Sus scrofa: one gene and its partners. The protein of the gene in region 1 interacts with the protein of each later gene in a pairwise test. Links are inferred from orthologs where the notes say so. Each region holds a gene or a part of one and is shown on either strand. Other genes may lie near its edges.

Region 1 (5,470 bases):
GCTCCAGGCTCACCTCGCTGAACGCCCCGCGTCCGATCACCTTCAGAATCTCGAAGTCATCCCTCTGCAGTCGGGCTTCCTTAAGCCTCGCCGCAATGGGATCCACTGGGGGGGCAGCAGGAGATGAGAACCGAGAATAATAGGGACTGACCCTGGAGGCAGGAGCCAGCCCCACCCTCTGTCCCCAGTCTCCCCTCGCCGCCCCTCCCCTTTGGACTGTATGCCTCCTAAGGTCTCCACATAAACGTTACACGAGGTCTGCGGAACCCAGAACTGCCCGCAAACAGAGAGAGGTGGGATGCCTGGGAACCCCTTTCTGGGGTTCTTGGGGGCGTAGGATGGAAGGGTGAGATAATAAGTCCACCAAAGGGAGGCCCTGAAGGACAGAGAAGAAATGAGGCCTAGTTTCCTGGGTTTCAAGCCCCTACTGCTGGTGACCCGGCCCACCCCCCAGGTCTCTCACTCGGTCTGTCCTGGACTGTGGCCCAGAGCATGCAGTTTAATCCAGCACCTCCAAGCTCAGATGCAGGTGGCTCTTGGGCCACACTTTGGGAAACCCTGAGTGAGACCGGGGCTGGGAGAAGGTATGGGAGTCCCGGCTCCAGGGCTGCAGGAGTGGTCAAGTGTTACCTCCGCGCTTTAGACCGCAGGGGGAGGCTTTCCTATCACCCCTACCTACAGCAGGGGAACCAAAGCCCAGACAGCGAAGTCCTCTGCCAAGGTCCTAGGCTAGCGATGTTACAGAGGGTGGTCTGGGAGGGGGAAGCAGGGTGGAGGCAGGAGATGGGCTGGGGGAGAGGGAGGCCTGGACTCCTGTGGGTGGGAGAAGCAGGGAGCTGCAGAGGAAGGAGGGAGGGAGCAAAGGGTACAAGCAGGGCCGAGGGAAGAGACAGTGGGTTACGGAGAGGGTTGGGGGTTCGAGGAGAGTGGGCCAGCAGGGCGGCAGCAGCCAGGGCCCGGGATGGGGGAGGGAGGAGAGCGCCAAGACATTGAGCCCTTTTAAGGCAGCGGGAACCCAGGCCCCCTCCCCCGCCCAGGCGGCCTGGCAGGGGAGGGGCCGCAGGACGCTGCTCGGGCCACAAAAGGAGTGCTCCTTACAGGAGAGCTAGACTCTAGCCCCCACCTCAGGTCTCGGGTTGTCCTGCCAGTCCAACTCCATCCTCTGCAGAAGGGGGGCTGAGAGAGTTACTAAGGGCTGGGGGTGTGTGGGGAGAAGGTTCTGCCAGAGGCCTAGTAGTCTCGCCCTTGGCCTCCACCTTCCCATCTGCAAAATGGGAAGAGGAAGAGGAGCAGGGCCTTGGGCAGAAAGAGATGGACCCAAGAAAAGAGGGAGCGGGCCAAGGTGGAGAAACGAGACAGGGACACAGTGCCTAAGGACCAAGAGCAAGCCACTGAGGGACAGGCTAGTGGAGGGAGAGAAACCCGGGCGAGCCTGAGTCCTGGCCCAGGAGGGGGTGGGGGGAGACAAGGTAGGAGACTGAGGCTGCAGCAACTTCCCTGTGGACCTATCTCCAGGAGGAGACTTGGCCAGAAGGGACTCTTGGGTGGAGGGGGCAGCATGGAAGCTACAGAGAAGGTGGGCCCACCCACAAGAACCCTAAATTGTTCCTCCTCCAACCAGGGGGTAGAGGAGGTGCTGGGTGGTGCCTGTCTGTAGAGCTGGTTCCCCGCCCCCCACCCCAGGGCCTGCCTGAGTCACCGCACCCTCCCAGGGCCTGGGCACCTGTTGGAACAGCTGGAGAAGCTGGCGCCGAACACCTGCCGGCCGGCCACACCCCTGGCAGCTGCCCCGCGCTGTCCCCTCTGCTTGCCCCTACGCTCAGGGAAACCAGGGTGGAGGGCTATAGAGCCTATTTTGGTGGTGGGGGGGAGTCCTAGGAAACAGGGTTCCCCATCTGTCCCTAGGCCTCGGCTCAAGGAGGGGGTGCTGGGGGACCAGGAGAGACTGTGCCCAGTCCAGCCTACCATGGCTCCCAACTCATGGTTCTGAGTCATGGCTGCCTGCCCTCTGGTGACCCCACTCTGCCCGGCCAGGGTGGCACTGGGGAGAAATGTGCCACCCCAAGACCCAGGCCCAGATGCTGGGCCCCTCAGTGGGAGGCTTTCCCCATGCCCATCCTGCATCCAAAATCAGTCCCTGCACCCAGACCCGCCTTCTCCCTCTGCCCTGCCTCCTGCCCTCAACGTGGGGTTCCCACAAAGGTAAGCACTCACCCCACTGCAAGAAGTCGGCCACATACTTCTCCTGGGCCAGGTCGGAGGCGCCCAACTCCTGGTGGACACCCAGGAGAAGGTCAAGCAGGGGCTCCAGCCCCAGGAAGCCGGGGTCCAGCACCAGCTGCTGAAGCCGCCTCAGCCGCACCTCGGCTGACATGACGGGCAGGCAGCACCATGGCCCCCTCCCCGGGCGGGGGGCTCAAGGTCCTCCTGTCATGGGGCCTGGAAGGCCCCGTCCAGACCCTGGGGCCCTGGCCGCATGTCTGCCTGTCCCTGGCTGTCCCCTGGGCCTCTCTGGCCACTTCTCTCTGCTGGCTGCTAAGGCCTCCTCCCCTTCTCCCCACCCCTTGGTCCAGCCCCCTCTAGCCTCCCAGCCTTAACCCCTCACAAGCCAGGCCCCCCCAACTCCCTCCTTCCAGGCCCCTCGGAATGCTTCAGTGTCAGATGGGGGGGGGGGTTAGAGAATCTCAACCCTCAAACTCCCCTCCGCCAGAAAAGGCGGAGCCCAGTGGAATACCATACAGATGCCAAGGATGAGCCCTCCCATTTCCCAGAGGGGACCAATTGAGGCTCAGAGTGATCTGGTGACACCCCTCCCAAGCTCTGGAGTTGGGAGGGAAGAAAAAGGGTTGAGGCCTGGGGAAGGGAGGCAGGAGGCCAGGGCAGCTTTGCGGGTGACTCAGCCAGGGATTCAGACTTTGGGACGGTTTAAATTTAGCCCTCAGGCCCTCTGCTTTACGCTGACTTTTTTTTGGCAGGAGGTGGGGAAGGGGTGGTGAGAGAATCGGGAAGGGAGGCCCTCAGGAGCCAGGACCAGGGGTGATCAACTGGACAAAGCCTGGGGGAGGCAAAGGAGCCCCCAAAATAGCTCCTTGGACTCTGGCCGCACAGCCACATTCCTGCCCAGGCTAGGATTAGAAACAGAAACATTTCGGGGGGTGGAGGGCGGAGCGGGGAGACACCAGTCCCTGAGGCTCCGGAGAGCCAGCCAGGAGGGATTTTCATTGTCCCTTCCAGAGTGGACAGTTTTCCCGAAGGGAACCATGGTCTCTGGCTGGCCCTGGAGACCTGGGCTTGGCCAAGGCTGGTGCCTGCCGCGCTCACTCTGGGCACCACGGGAGCTGTCTGAAGGACCCTGTCTGGGTAGGCCCCCGTGCTATCTCATTCGCACACTTGGCACCAACTTTTAAAGCTAAGGACGACTTTGAAGGGAGGACGGGGGGCAGGGACGCCTGTCTCTATCCAAAGGGCCTTGTCTGGGGGTGGCCAGGGACAAATGGACCAGCCGAGTGCCTGGTGCGTGTCCCTCCTCTGGCCTTCAGTGTTTCCTGCCATCAAAAGGGGGTGGGGGGAGGAGGGGCCGGGCCTAGGCTCTTCCTCTGGATACAGTGGGTTGATTCTAGAACTGCTGCGAAAGCACACACACACTTCCTCCGCGCCTCTGCAGAAGGGAACAGAGACGCTGTGAAAACAGGGAACTTTAGTATAAATAAGAGGTTCTGGGGGAGGGGGTGCCCCCAAGGGGCTTCCATAATTTAACACTCTTCAAAAGCACAAACAACAGCAGGGGCGGGGACCAGGGGAGGAGTAGGCCACCCCCTGCCCTGCCCACAGACCGAGGGGCACACTGCAGAGCTGGGGCTCTCGTGGATGGGGAGCTTCTCTCCCAGGAGTGACCAGTCACATGCTGGGGACAGGGATGAGGCTAACACTGATGTTTCAGAGGAAGGGGTCATTGTACTTGGCAGTGGGTGGGGACAAGGCTGAGGCCACATGGGTCACTACATTCCCCCCAGTGTCTGGGCCAGGCTGAGGGACCCTTTGCCCCCCATATTTGTGCAGAGTGGGGGACTGGAGCAGTCCATCCGTCATGGTTAGTCTTGTTAACACGTTGATCCATGAGGTCAGCGGGGAGGGTTACAGCTAGGAGGCTGGGGGCGTGGGGTAAGCGCCTCCCCGACATCCACGGCTTCACACCACTGTGCCGCTGGGGGAGTTGCCTGGTTGGGAAGAGATGCCCTGGGGGAGATGAGAGGGGAGACGGGGAGTTAGAGACCACATGGGCCGGGCTCTCGACAGTCCCCAGGGGAGGGAGCTGCCACCCTGGCCTTGCTCTTCAGTCTGCCCTGGAACCCCCCAGACAGAAGCCGCTGCTCTAGGCCTGGGAACTTACATCTCAGTGCCAGCAGGCGGCACTTTTATACAATAATTAAAGCCTTTGGGTGATCCTGAGCAGAGAGGATGGGGGAGAGGGGAGGCAGGGAGGAGAGGGGGGAACGGAGGTCCTTTTCTGACTGGGGGGGGCGCTGAGATTCTGGGGGGGGAGAACTTAGGGACAGTCCTACCTCTACCACTGACTTGCTGGGTGACCTGGGCCAACTTCCTTCCCCTGTCTGGGCCTCCGTCTCCTCGTCTGTGAACTAGGGAGACAGAGGGGTCACTTTCAGGATTTACCACATTCCCCAAATGCCAAAGGCCCTGCCTTGGAGATTGTGCTTTAAGTTCTAGGGATTCAGGAGCCTATAATCCCGAAACTACTCTTCCAGGGAACCAAGGCACAGCCCTCGGATCTGGCATCCTGGGCCCCTGAGCCCAAACCCTGAGGAGATATCTGAGACCACAGTTCCAAAGTCAAAAGGCGTGAGGTCCATACCTTACCTAATGGGACCTTTTTGAACCCCACAGCCACCCCAGAAAATGGGCACATCCGCCCACTACCCATCTTCAAGTTTCCCAAAGAAGTGACAAAGGTCATAAAGAGGTGGCGACGTGCTCAAGGCCACAGAGGGAGCAGAAGTACCAGTCTGGGCCCTGAGGCTGAATTCCACAGCTCATGCCTCCAGCAGTGGACTCGGATCCCAAGAGGCTGAGACTCGGTCTGGAAGCCAGACCCACAGGTGCAATCCTGCCCACAGAGCTTGACCCACAGTATTAAAAAAAAAAAATGTCACCATTCCGCTAAGAGCCAGCCAGGCTGGGCCCACAGGAAGCCCTGCCAGTAGCTGGCCATGGTCTCCACCACTCCCAGGAGTCCCTTACACTGGATCCACTCTCTGCTGACCATGGCTTGCCAAGCATTCTAGAAGGTACTCTGAGACGTCTGGTTCTGGGACACTCAAGTTTCCCTCACCCCACAGGGCTGGAGGCTGCCACGCCAACAGACCCCTCCGCCGGCGCCCGCCTCTGCCTGGGTCCCGGGTCGGCGGGGATGACTCACCGCCTTGCCCGGCCGGGCCCAGGTGCAGATGAGGCC
Region 2 (5,153 bases), on another chromosome or scaffold:
TGACAATAAACAAACAGGAAATGACTCAGAATGTTCTAAGGCAACACATCGATGGAATACTAGAGCAGGGCAGGGTGGATCAGGAAAACTGGGGGATACAATTTTAAGTAGGGAGTCGTGTGAATATTCAGGGAAAAGCACTCCAAGCAGAGGGACCAGTGAGTAGAATGACCCCGAGGAAAGAGAGCGCCTGGCTTTTTTTGCGGAACAGCAAAGGGGACAGTGGGGCTGGAGCTGTGGAGTGACAAGAAAAGAGAGGGGACACTGGATCTGAAAGACAAAGAGATTGGGTGGGGCCTTGGAGGCCATGGGAAGATTTTGACTTTGACTCCAAGTGGAAGCGCAACATCAGATGCTTTTGAGCAGAGTTGTGGCATCACCTGATGCAGATGCTCAGTCATGGTGTGAGCTGGTCCTGCCGGAGGCAGAGACAATGCAGGAGGCCAGTGCAATAGTTCTGATGAAGGATGGTGGCAGTTCAGTTTTCCAGGAGTAGCAGCCCAAGTAAGTGAGAAATGGTCAAATTCTGGATACATGTGGAAGGTAGAGCCAGTTGGCTTTGGAGGCAGAGTGGATGTGGGTGGGGGATGTGAAAAAGAGGAGTCAAGATGCTTTAGGGCCTGAGCATTTGGAAGGATGGAGCTGCCATTTACTGAGATGTGTGTGCAAGAGCTGTATTATACATCTCACAGTGACTCGGAGAGAACAGCTGCCTTGGGAGTGTGGGCTTGAGTGTAAGGCTTCCTTCTACCTGCTGGGGAAAACCTCTTGAAACAAATGAGCTCCCGGCTGTGCTTTGAAAGATGAGGCTCGGAAAGACTGAGGTTTTCACAAGTACTTTTGTAAGACTCAAATGCACAGTTTAAAAAAAGCATCAGTTCGGGGGTTGTATTTCCTCCTCTGTGCCAAACAGTTCATTTAGTTTTTTTAGTCTTTTCCTCACCCCCACCCCAACTCCACAGGCTGAAATGCCACTTCTGAAGAGCAGAGCTGCTGGTGCATCCTGGCACCAATAGAGGGAGCTGAGAAGGCCTCCGGAAGACCTCTGAGCTGAGGCCCAGGGCTGGACACTGCCTTCTCTCCAGCCTCTAGCAACCTCTGTGCTTCTGGCTAGAAGCCAGGTGTTTCTGGGAGGATGGGGAAGTGGTTCTAGAACTCTCTTGACAATTTTCCTATTCTACTGAAACTTTTGTTTATGGCCGTTGTCATGGGTAAAGGACCAAACACATATGCATCCAGAAGTGATCACCTGTGTGTATCCATAGAGGAAAGAGATAAGGCCCTAGATGTAAATAAAGAGAAGAAGGAAGAATGCAACAGATGGAATAAAGAGGGTGTATGGGGCTGCTATGACAAGTGACCACAAACAGGGTGGCTTAAAACAAGAGAAATGTACTCTTACAGTTTGGGAGGAGAGAGGCCCCAAATCAAGGCATCGGGCCTTGCAGGGCCTTGCTCCCTCTGAAGCGCTAAGGAAGAATTCTTCCTTGCCTCTTCCAGCTCCTGGTGATTGCTGGCCAGTCTTGGCTTTCCTTGGCTTGTGGCTAAATCACTTCCATCTCGGCCTGTCTTCGCAGGGCCTTCTTCCCCTTCCCTGTGTCCCCCGGTCTTAGGAGAATAGCGGTCAGGTGGGATTTAGGGACCACCCTCATCTGGTAAGACATCTTAACTAATTACATCTTAATTCCAGATAAAGTCACTCACTTTCCTAGGGTGCAAGGACTTCAACATATCTTTCAGGGGAGCACAACTCCACCCACAACAGAGGGCAACAGGAACTTACCCTGAGAGCCCACCTGTGGGGGAAAACACATAAATGGAGCAATAAAAGGAAAACAGTTACATGTGAAATTCTAAGTGGAGGTCAAATGGATTTGGGAGTAACAGGAAATATTAGATAAGAGAAGCTTTCACTTGGGATACGCTCTCCATCTGTGCTTATGGCCTTGATTTTTTTTTTTTTTCCCTCTCAGAGTTAAAAAAAATACTGTATAAATAAAAAGAATAAGAAAATAGCACTTCTCTGACTCACACATTGGGCAGAGCCGCAAATTCTTGTGATAATCAGGAAAGACTCCACGGAAGGGTTGGTGCCTGAGCTGGATCTCGGAGGATGAGGATAAAATCGCCATGTAAAGGAGGACTTCCCAGATAGAGAGAAAGTATATGCCAAAGGCCCAGTGTCACTTCAGTGATCCACCCTTTACTGCCTGAAATAGGGTGAACAACCTCTCAAGGCAAGGCGCAGACCGTCTGCTTGATCTGTATTACTCAGAAACAGGATTAAATACAGGAAGGGGCAAACATGTTGCTGGTTTTAATAAATGCACACAGAAGCACACAGTAACCTAAAGAGACAGGAGAGCAGCATCTCTAAGGAAGACTTCATTCTTGGGCACATTTGCCAAAGCACAAATATGGAAACCCCACCCTCAGCCAGAGCTGGAGAAATCAAAAGGCTGATGTGGTATAAATTCCTCTGCCCTGATTGCATAAGGAGATCTGCCAACATTTTTTTCTCTGATATATTCCTTGCTGCACAAAGAGCTGAACTGGGTTTTTAAAACCTGATCGTGAACCGAGATAGGCAATTCTGAATCATCACCAGGATCTAGGAAAATTAACCCTCACCGATCTTCCCAGATAAGCACCCAAGCTTGCTGCCTCTGAGATCTGCTGCGGGGTTCTGGCTAGGTTCCTGTCACAGAGAGACTCCCCTTTTTTGGCATAAGAATGTACAAGATGCCAGTAAAGTTCACACTGGGTCATCGAAGGCTCTTTAAATGCACGGTGATTCATTGCTGGGGGTGGGGGAGCGACGAGAGGGAGGGGGAAGGAAGTGCTGAGCAGAGAGGCGGAGCGAAGTAATTATGAAATTGACTGCAGAAAAAGCTCGCGCTGGGAGTGACGGGGGTCACGTGTTCCTACTATTGGTATTTCGGCTACAACTTTCAAACCCGAGGCAGGGGGGAGGGGTCGGGAAACCTCACCTTGCCTCTTGATTGGCTTTCGGAGGAGATGCTTCAGATGCCTGGCATATTTATTAGAATTACAACGGAGCATTAATTTCTCTTTTTATCTGACAAAGAAGAAACGCTCTCCCATGACAGTCCGGTTAGCAGAACAAAAATCTGGCTGTACTGGTATGAGTGAACAATTTGTCTTCTTCTTCTTGATTTACTCCGCATTCTAGCTGACAGGGTCTTCCATTCTGCGCATTCATTTTGTACTTAAAAAGGGATTGTTTGTAATTTACAGTTTAAGGCTGAGGGCCATTATTCTGCGCTGTCAGAACGCATCTGCCGCAGGAGCATCGTTTCAGCCTGTGCCAGGGCACAAAGCAAGCCCTGATCGCCAGTCAGCTTGAGAGCTCCCTGGAGACTCCAGCCCTTAAACTTTGGAGAGGCCTGGCCCACAGGGGTTCTGCAAATATCAAACTGCCTGACAACCCCCGCTGAAATCCTGACACACAGTTTCCTCTTTGTGTCCAAAAGCAAACTTGGCCAGTGCCTCTTCTCTAACTCTTCCTCTTTGGGGTAAACTTGGTAAATTCCTCATAAAATAATTGTCTTAAACTCGGACCCTCCTGTGGGTCAGTTTTCCTAGCTGATGGGTGACTCAAGAAAAACAAACCGACAGAGCTTACAGCTAGATATTTTAATATCCTGTAGTTAGAGTCACAAAGACCTTCCCTCTTTCCCAAACAGTTTGATGTGTTTTGTTTTGTTTCTTTCAGTCCGTTGTAGCCCCTGATCTCAGTCTGCAGACACCCTAAGCTTAACCCCTACAACCCATCAACTGCCATCATCTTAAAGTGTAAACAGTGGTGGCTTTGGGCTTTGATTTTAATTTGGAAAATGTATTTCTTTTGAGGAAACAAAATGCCAAGATGTTAATGAAATGCTTTTAATAGATTTCCAAATGCTCCCAGCCAATACCAGGCAAAGTTCAACTCACTCATTCTAAGCCTCAAACTGTTGTTCATTTTCTTTTCCTGTAAGAAGGGCTATGTCCTATAGATGATTAAAACCATAAATTCTGTTATTTCATAGGTCATTACATTACATTCAGTCTTGGTTGTAGTTACATTGACGAAAATTTATCTAGGTCTTGCTTGAAAAATAAATAATAATGGTTAAAAATCATCTCATTTCCTTTTGACGTGTCCTATTAGACTAAGTATATGAGAAAGTGTTATATATAAAAAAAAAGACAGATTTCCTTTTGGTGGCCTTGATTTGTTTTCTAGTTAAGCAGCAACTGTATACTTTTCATTATTCATGCCCAAAGCCATCTGTCATTAAAAGGTAACACCCCCAACCATTCAGCCACAAGCTGCAAATCCAGCTATAACTCCAGAATACATAGCTTTCCATCAGCTTCCCAGGGTGGCACAGTGTCTGGGATCCTCTCTCCCCTTCTCCCCCCCCCAAAAAAAAACCCACACCAGATCTAACAAATTTTTAGTCTAACAGACAAATCTAATAAATTTCTATTTTGTGGGCCCATGCCAGATCTACCCAGGAGATTATTCCTTCACCACCAGCTTACTCTCAGAGATCATTTTAACAAAGGTTAAGGTCCATGTTATACACTGCAAGGGGGAAATCTCAGGAAGGTTAAAAAAAAAATAACCCAGTTATCTACTCCACTACTGCAGAGTCATGCCAGGATCTTAAGGTCTCCAATTAGTTCTTAGAACTAATTCCTGCACCTCCCCAGCCTCATTATTTATACCAGAGTGGTCCATTAGAAAAATAATGGACACATGTCATTTTAAATTTTATAATAGTCACACTCGGAAGTAAAAAGAAACTGGTAAATTAACTTTAACGGTATATTTTATTTAACCTGACTTAGGCAGAATATTTTCATTTTAATCGATACGAAAATTCTTGAGATACCTGTATATGTGTACACTTGTGCATTTGTGTGTATGTTCTAAGTCTGACATTTAAAGTGTATGTTACACGTATAACACATCTCAATGGCTGAAGTCATATTGAACAGTGCAGACCTATCTGAAAGCACTTGTTTTTGGTTTTAATTGTAGACAGAATCTTATTTAAAATTCCCTACTGTGTGTACTGTTACATCATAAACTGTTGGCAGATGTTTAAGTACAATGATTTTAATTTCACTCTTGACTAGTG
Region 3 (5,175 bases), on another chromosome or scaffold:
TCTCGGGACACGAAGCCGTGGCGGTCCAGGCGCTGGGGGTGCCGGGCAGACACCTCCAGCAGGTTGTCCACAGTCCTCACGGTCACCTCATCTGGGGTGAAGTGGCTCACATCCAGAAAGGCCTGGAACTTGCCCTCACTAAGCCGAAGCTCCGAGGCCCCCGCCCTGCTGCCCTCCGCCGCTTGGGCTGCCCGTGGCCGGACGTAGTAGCCGTGGTAGAGGGTGGGGGTCAGGATCTCTTCTGGCAGGAGGCCTGGGGGGCAGAGGGGGAGAAGGAGAGAGGCGGGATGAGGGACGAGGGGTGGGAAGGAGGTGAACTCTGGGGAGATCGGGGGTGAGGCCCGGGGAGCGAGGAGGGGAGAGTCGGAAGAAGCAGGGGAGGGAGGGATGACAGGGACTGGACAGAGGGGACTGAGAAGGGAAATGGGGGCGGGGAGCAAACCTAACGCGATCTGGGGGGTCGGAGGGGAAGCCCCCACGCCCAGGCAGACGCGGCAGGTGTCAGCACCGCGGGCACAGCCCGCACCAAGGTAGGCAGGAAGGGGAGGGAGCCGAGCTTAGAAGGGGTGGGGTGGGGGGGTCTGGGGTGGGAGACGGCTCGCCCCAGGAGTTCACTTAAGCCTGGAGTGGGGTGGAGGCCAGGATCTTTGGGAGGTCAGCCCAGAATTTCAGGAGGTGGGGGTGGGAGGCAAGGGGGTGGTGTCCGGGCCGTACCTTCCCCGAAGCGCTGCTCACCCAGGCGGCTCGGGTTGGCAAACTCGTACTCAGTGGTGGCCGGGTGGGCATGTGGCACCGAGCGGCCCGACATGGCTGCAGATGCGGCGGCGGCTCAGGTCCGAGGTGCGGCCCCAACAGTCGCAGCGGGACCCCTCCAGCTGCCGCCGTAGGGCCAGGGTGCGTTCGGAGTGGGGGCGGGGTCTACACCACCCAAAATAGTGCCGAGCCTGGGGGGAGGGGCGAGGAGCGCCCGCGACGGCTGTGTGACCCGCGCCGCCTGGACCCCCGTCCCCTCCCTAGCACACTCTTCAGCTGTCACATCCCCGCCCCCTCCCTCCCCCCTCCCCCGGGACAGCTGGGGGTCCTGGCCGCGGAGCGAGCTGGGCAGGGGAGGCTGGTGCGGAGGTCCGGGAAAGGCCTCGCTGAGACCCTCGCGAAAAAGGGTGTACATTTCCACACCCTCCTTCTCCTCCTCACTTGCAGGCAGCAGGCACCCTACTCCATAAAACTCCCCTGGATTTAAGGTTCTGCCAGCCACGTAAAGCGAAAGATGCAAACAACTTTCTGCCCTTTCTTTGGGGGGTGCGGTGAGGGGCCTTTTGGTCTTGACATATCAGGGGCCTCTCTGAACCGGGGGCAACCCAGAGCACCACACGGAAACCTGCCATTGACATGCTGGTGATCACTGCTCTCCTCCAGGGCCCCACAAAGAGTTAATGTCCCTGGGGCCCAGCCTAGGAAGATTCCAGTTCCTGCCCAGGCCCAAGATAGTTGTTGGCCCCATTCCCTTGGCATGCTGGACTGGAGAGGAGGAGGGGCCCGCTGCCCGCCTGCTTGGGATTCCTGACTGGGTCCCAACTCCAGGGAAGGGGATGGGGGAAGGGTGCCATTGGGTGTGGACAGAAAGCTAGTGAAACAAGACCAGGACAAGCCACTGGCCAGCTCAGACGTGTCTGTATTTCTCTTTTCTTAGCTCAGTGAGTACTGGGTATGTGTCACACTGCCAAATCCCCGATCACAAGTCTCCATGAACGGGTGGTGAGCTGGGATAATAAAACCCCTGACATCACCATTCCAGAAGCTTCACAAGACTGCGTATATAAGGGGCTGGCTGGAGCTGCAGCTGAAGGAGCTGACCGGCCAGCTGACCCTCTACATCCACCCAGCCGCCATGGACATTGCCATCCACCACCCCTGGATCCGCCGCCCCTTCTTTCCTTTCCACTCTCCCAGCCGCCTCTTTGACCAGTTCTTTGGAGAACACCTGTTGGAGTCTGATCTCTTCCCAGCTTCTACTTCCCTGAGCCCCTTCTACTTTCGGCCGCCCTCGTTCCTGCGGGCACCCAGCTGGATTGACACTGGGCTCTCAGAGGTAAGTATCCCCTCTGCCCCGACAGGAGAGTGCATTCTGGAGCCTCCTGGAAGCGTCCCCATCCACTTTCCTCTTCCTCCCAGCCTAAATGTGGCTGTGTCTAAGGGTCTCAAGGGTTTTAGGCACTTGTGTGTCCTGCAGTGGAGAAAGATGGGGTTCCTAGTTCCTCCCCTCCCCCCCACGCAGGCACCTGTTTGGATTTGACGCCCCTGTGTATTCCACTTCTTATATTTTCCCCGTGTGCTACAAAGGTCATTCTCTATCCTCTTCTTCTAAGTAGGGTGTCCCTTTCCAGTTTGGTTCATAATGATCTACAGTGCAAGGGCTGCCTTCAGACTCCTGCTCACCTCTTCTAACACCTCACACTCCTCACAAATACTATCATTTCAAGTTTCAGAGCCAGGAGACAGTCCTACCTCATCCCTGCTGCGTGCAGCTGGAGACAGCAACCACTATTGTCTTCCACTCCCTCTTCTGTGATTTTCCAGGTTTCTCAAGGCTGTGACAGGGCACTGGCCTGGGTCCGAGGCTCACGAGGAAAGAATATAGGTCCAGTTTTCTGACCCCCCAACTTGTCCTAGGAGTGTGGGAAAATGAGGGGAACAGATAAGGTTGACAGAAGCTGTCACAGATAACACTCTGGTTTAAAATTTTTCAAGTGTAAATAAACAGGAGCTGAGTGGACAAGGGCTTTGGAAGGACAATCAGAGCCAGCAGAACATTCCAGATTGAGTGGGTGGGAAACTTGGCAGAGACCTGAGCAAGAAGAAGCAGCCTTTGTACCACAGACAAATGACAAGGCCAGGCATTGGGTCAGAGAAGCAGCAGAAGCCATGCCCAGACCCATCCTTGCGATTTATCCCCTGAGTGGCCTTTTTCCCTGTAAATAAAGTTTGGGCCTGATGACCAAGTGGTGTGCCCCCTGAACCAGAGAACCATGTTTATTCAAAAAAGGATTTTTAGCTTAAAAGGGGAGGACCAACTACCCGAGCAGAAAGCAAGTCTGCAGAATGATGAGGCTGTATTAGTGTAATCCCCATTCTTACCACTTTTTCTGCTACCCCTGCCCCACCTTGCTGTTTTTAGATGCGTCTGGAGAAGGACAGATTCTCTGTCAACCTGGATGTGAAGCACTTCTCCCCCGAGGAACTCAAGGTCAAGGTGTTGGGAGATGTGATTGAGGTGCACGGCAAACATGAAGAGCGCCAGGTATGTAGCTGGCTTTCTTTTCTGCTCATTCACCCAAGGTGTACATTGTACCAGATGCTGCCATGAGCCTCTGAAGCTGGCAACATTTCAGTCCTAAGCCATAGAGTCTAGAACAGGGATAGATCTGTTGTTATTGTTATTTTGGCTAGAGAAGTGATCTTTGTTTTGACTTGACTGCCTTAGATAGGATAGATGGAAGGTTAACTTCTCATTTAAGTCAGTGGCTCTCAACCTGGCCATGTTAGAATTACCAGCGGAACTAAAAAAAAAAAAAAAAAAAAAATCCCAATCCTCAGGCATATCCCAGGTCAGTTACATCAGACATTTTAGGGATGGACTCGGGCATCAGATTTTTTTTTTTTTTTTTTGGTCTTTTTAGGGCCTCACCTATAGCATGTGGACGTGCCCAGGTTAGGGGTCAAGGCTGAATTAGAGCTGCAGCCCCTGGCCCACGTCACAGCCACAGCAAGCCAGATCCAAGCCATGTCTGCGATTTACACCACAGCTCACCACAGTGCCGTATCCTTAACCCACTGAGTGAGGCCAGGGATAGAATCGCATGTTCATGCATACTAGTCGGGTGGTTACCGCTGAGCCACAATGGGAACTTCCAGGCATCAGATTTTAAAAGCTCCCTAGGGAATTCTAACATACCAACAGTCAAGGTTAAAGACCACTGATTTAGGAATAGTGATTGTCAGAGATCTGATTGCTTTATATAATTACCTTAACTGCTTACATCTGGAAGGCCCTGGCATTTGGGACTTTTAGATGTTCAGGAATTCATTTCTCTTTAGCTCATCTTAATGTGAACTACTTGGTTTGCCTAGATTTCAGAGCTATACTCAGCTCCTAATACATGAGACCTATGTGGAAATCAGTTAATTGAGAGCCTGTCTGGATAAATGCTTGAGATACAGCAGGGATTAGATTAACAGTTAACTAACCTGTAGCAGAATTATAAAGACTGGAATAGTTTCTCATTACTCTCTGGGAGAGTTTTTCAATGAGTTTGCTTCTTACCAATTAGTTATAACTCAGAAACTCGTACATCAAATAATATAGTTTGAGGTCCTCAGGCTCTTTCAGTTTTGCTTATATCATTTAACATAGCCTCCCCAAGATGGAGTTTTTTCATTATTATTTTTATTAGTCCTATTGGTCTGGAACGTTCTGGAACATTCCTGAAGAGTGAGGACAATTGCTGGGCTTCCGGGGACTCAAATCATCAAAGCCAGATGATAGTCTAAATCCTGTAAACCCAGCAAACATTGATCTAAACCTTTGAGGTATACCCCTGACCATAACTGCACTTCAGGGCTTGAAGAGCTAGGAAGTCCTGGCTGTTCAGACTTTTCAGACTCCCACTGGTAGGAGTGGTCACCTAGGCAATTTCATCCTAGCCCCAAACAGGAAAGCTATGTAGCCTTCTCTCCTGTTGCCACACATTTGGTCACACCCAGAGAGAAGCAGGATGTCTTGAGTTCCAGGCAAGCAACACTATTTCCTGTTCTTATCTACCTCTTTCCTTATGCTCTTGCATTAGGATGAACATGGTTTCATCTCCCGGGAGTTCCACAGGAAATACCGGATCCCAGCTGATGTGGACCCTCTCACCATTACTTCATCCCTGTCATCTGATGGGGTCCTCACTGTGAATGGACCAAGGAGACAGGCCTCTGGCCCCGAGCGCACCATTCCCATCACCCGTGAAGAGAAGCCTGCTGTCACTGCAGCCCCCAAGAAGTAGATGCCCTTCCTCTAACTGCATTTTTTAAAACAAGAAACCTTCCTCATCAGTGAATGAAAATCTTGTGACTAGTGCTGAAGCTTATTAATGCTAAGGGCAGGCCCAAATTATTAAGCTAATAAATATC

What was found.
Region 2: the proteins of DMPK (region 1) and ATXN1 interact in binary tests that used the Homo sapiens proteins (3 or more experiments, as listed by UniProt). The link is inferred for Sus scrofa from reciprocal best matches to the Homo sapiens genes DMPK and ATXN1.
Region 3: the proteins of DMPK (region 1) and HSPB2 interact in a two-hybrid assay, tested with the Homo sapiens proteins (2 studies listed by BioGRID). The link is inferred for Sus scrofa from reciprocal best matches to the Homo sapiens genes DMPK and HSPB2.

What each region holds. Positions count from the first base shown.
Region 1 is NC_010448.4:52,107,547-52,113,016, forward strand, and holds the start of DMPK (myotonin-protein kinase), read right to left. Parts: upstream 3,277-5,470; 5' UTR 2,375-3,276; coding exon 2,215-2,374; intron 106-2,214; coding exon 14-105; intron 1-13. UniProt on the Homo sapiens protein: Non-receptor serine/threonine protein kinase which is necessary for the maintenance of skeletal muscle structure and function.
Region 2 is NC_010449.5:12,727,669-12,732,821, reverse strand, and holds the start of ATXN1 (ataxin-1), read left to right. Parts: upstream 1-1,971; 5' UTR 1,972-5,153. UniProt on the Homo sapiens protein: Chromatin-binding factor that repress Notch signaling in the absence of Notch intracellular domain by acting as a CBF1 corepressor. Binds to the HEY promoter and might assist, along with NCOR2, RBPJ-mediated repression. Binds RNA in vitro.
Region 3 is NC_010451.4:39,638,518-39,643,692, reverse strand, and holds the start of HSPB2 (heat shock protein beta-2), read right to left. Parts: upstream 3,577-5,175; 5' UTR 3,299-3,576; coding exon of another isoform or gene 3,176-3,298; 5' UTR 2,667-3,175; coding exon of another isoform or gene 2,620-2,666; 5' UTR 2,506-2,619; exon of another isoform or gene 2,090-2,505; coding exon of another isoform or gene 1,889-2,089; exon of another isoform or gene 1,691-1,888; intron 945-1,690; 5' UTR 809-944; coding exon 715-808; intron 531-714; exon of another isoform or gene 254-530; coding exon 1-253. Other genes in the region: CRYAB (alpha-crystallin B chain), read left to right, coding at 1,889-2,089, 3,176-3,298, 4,845-5,048. UniProt on the Homo sapiens protein: May regulate the kinase DMPK.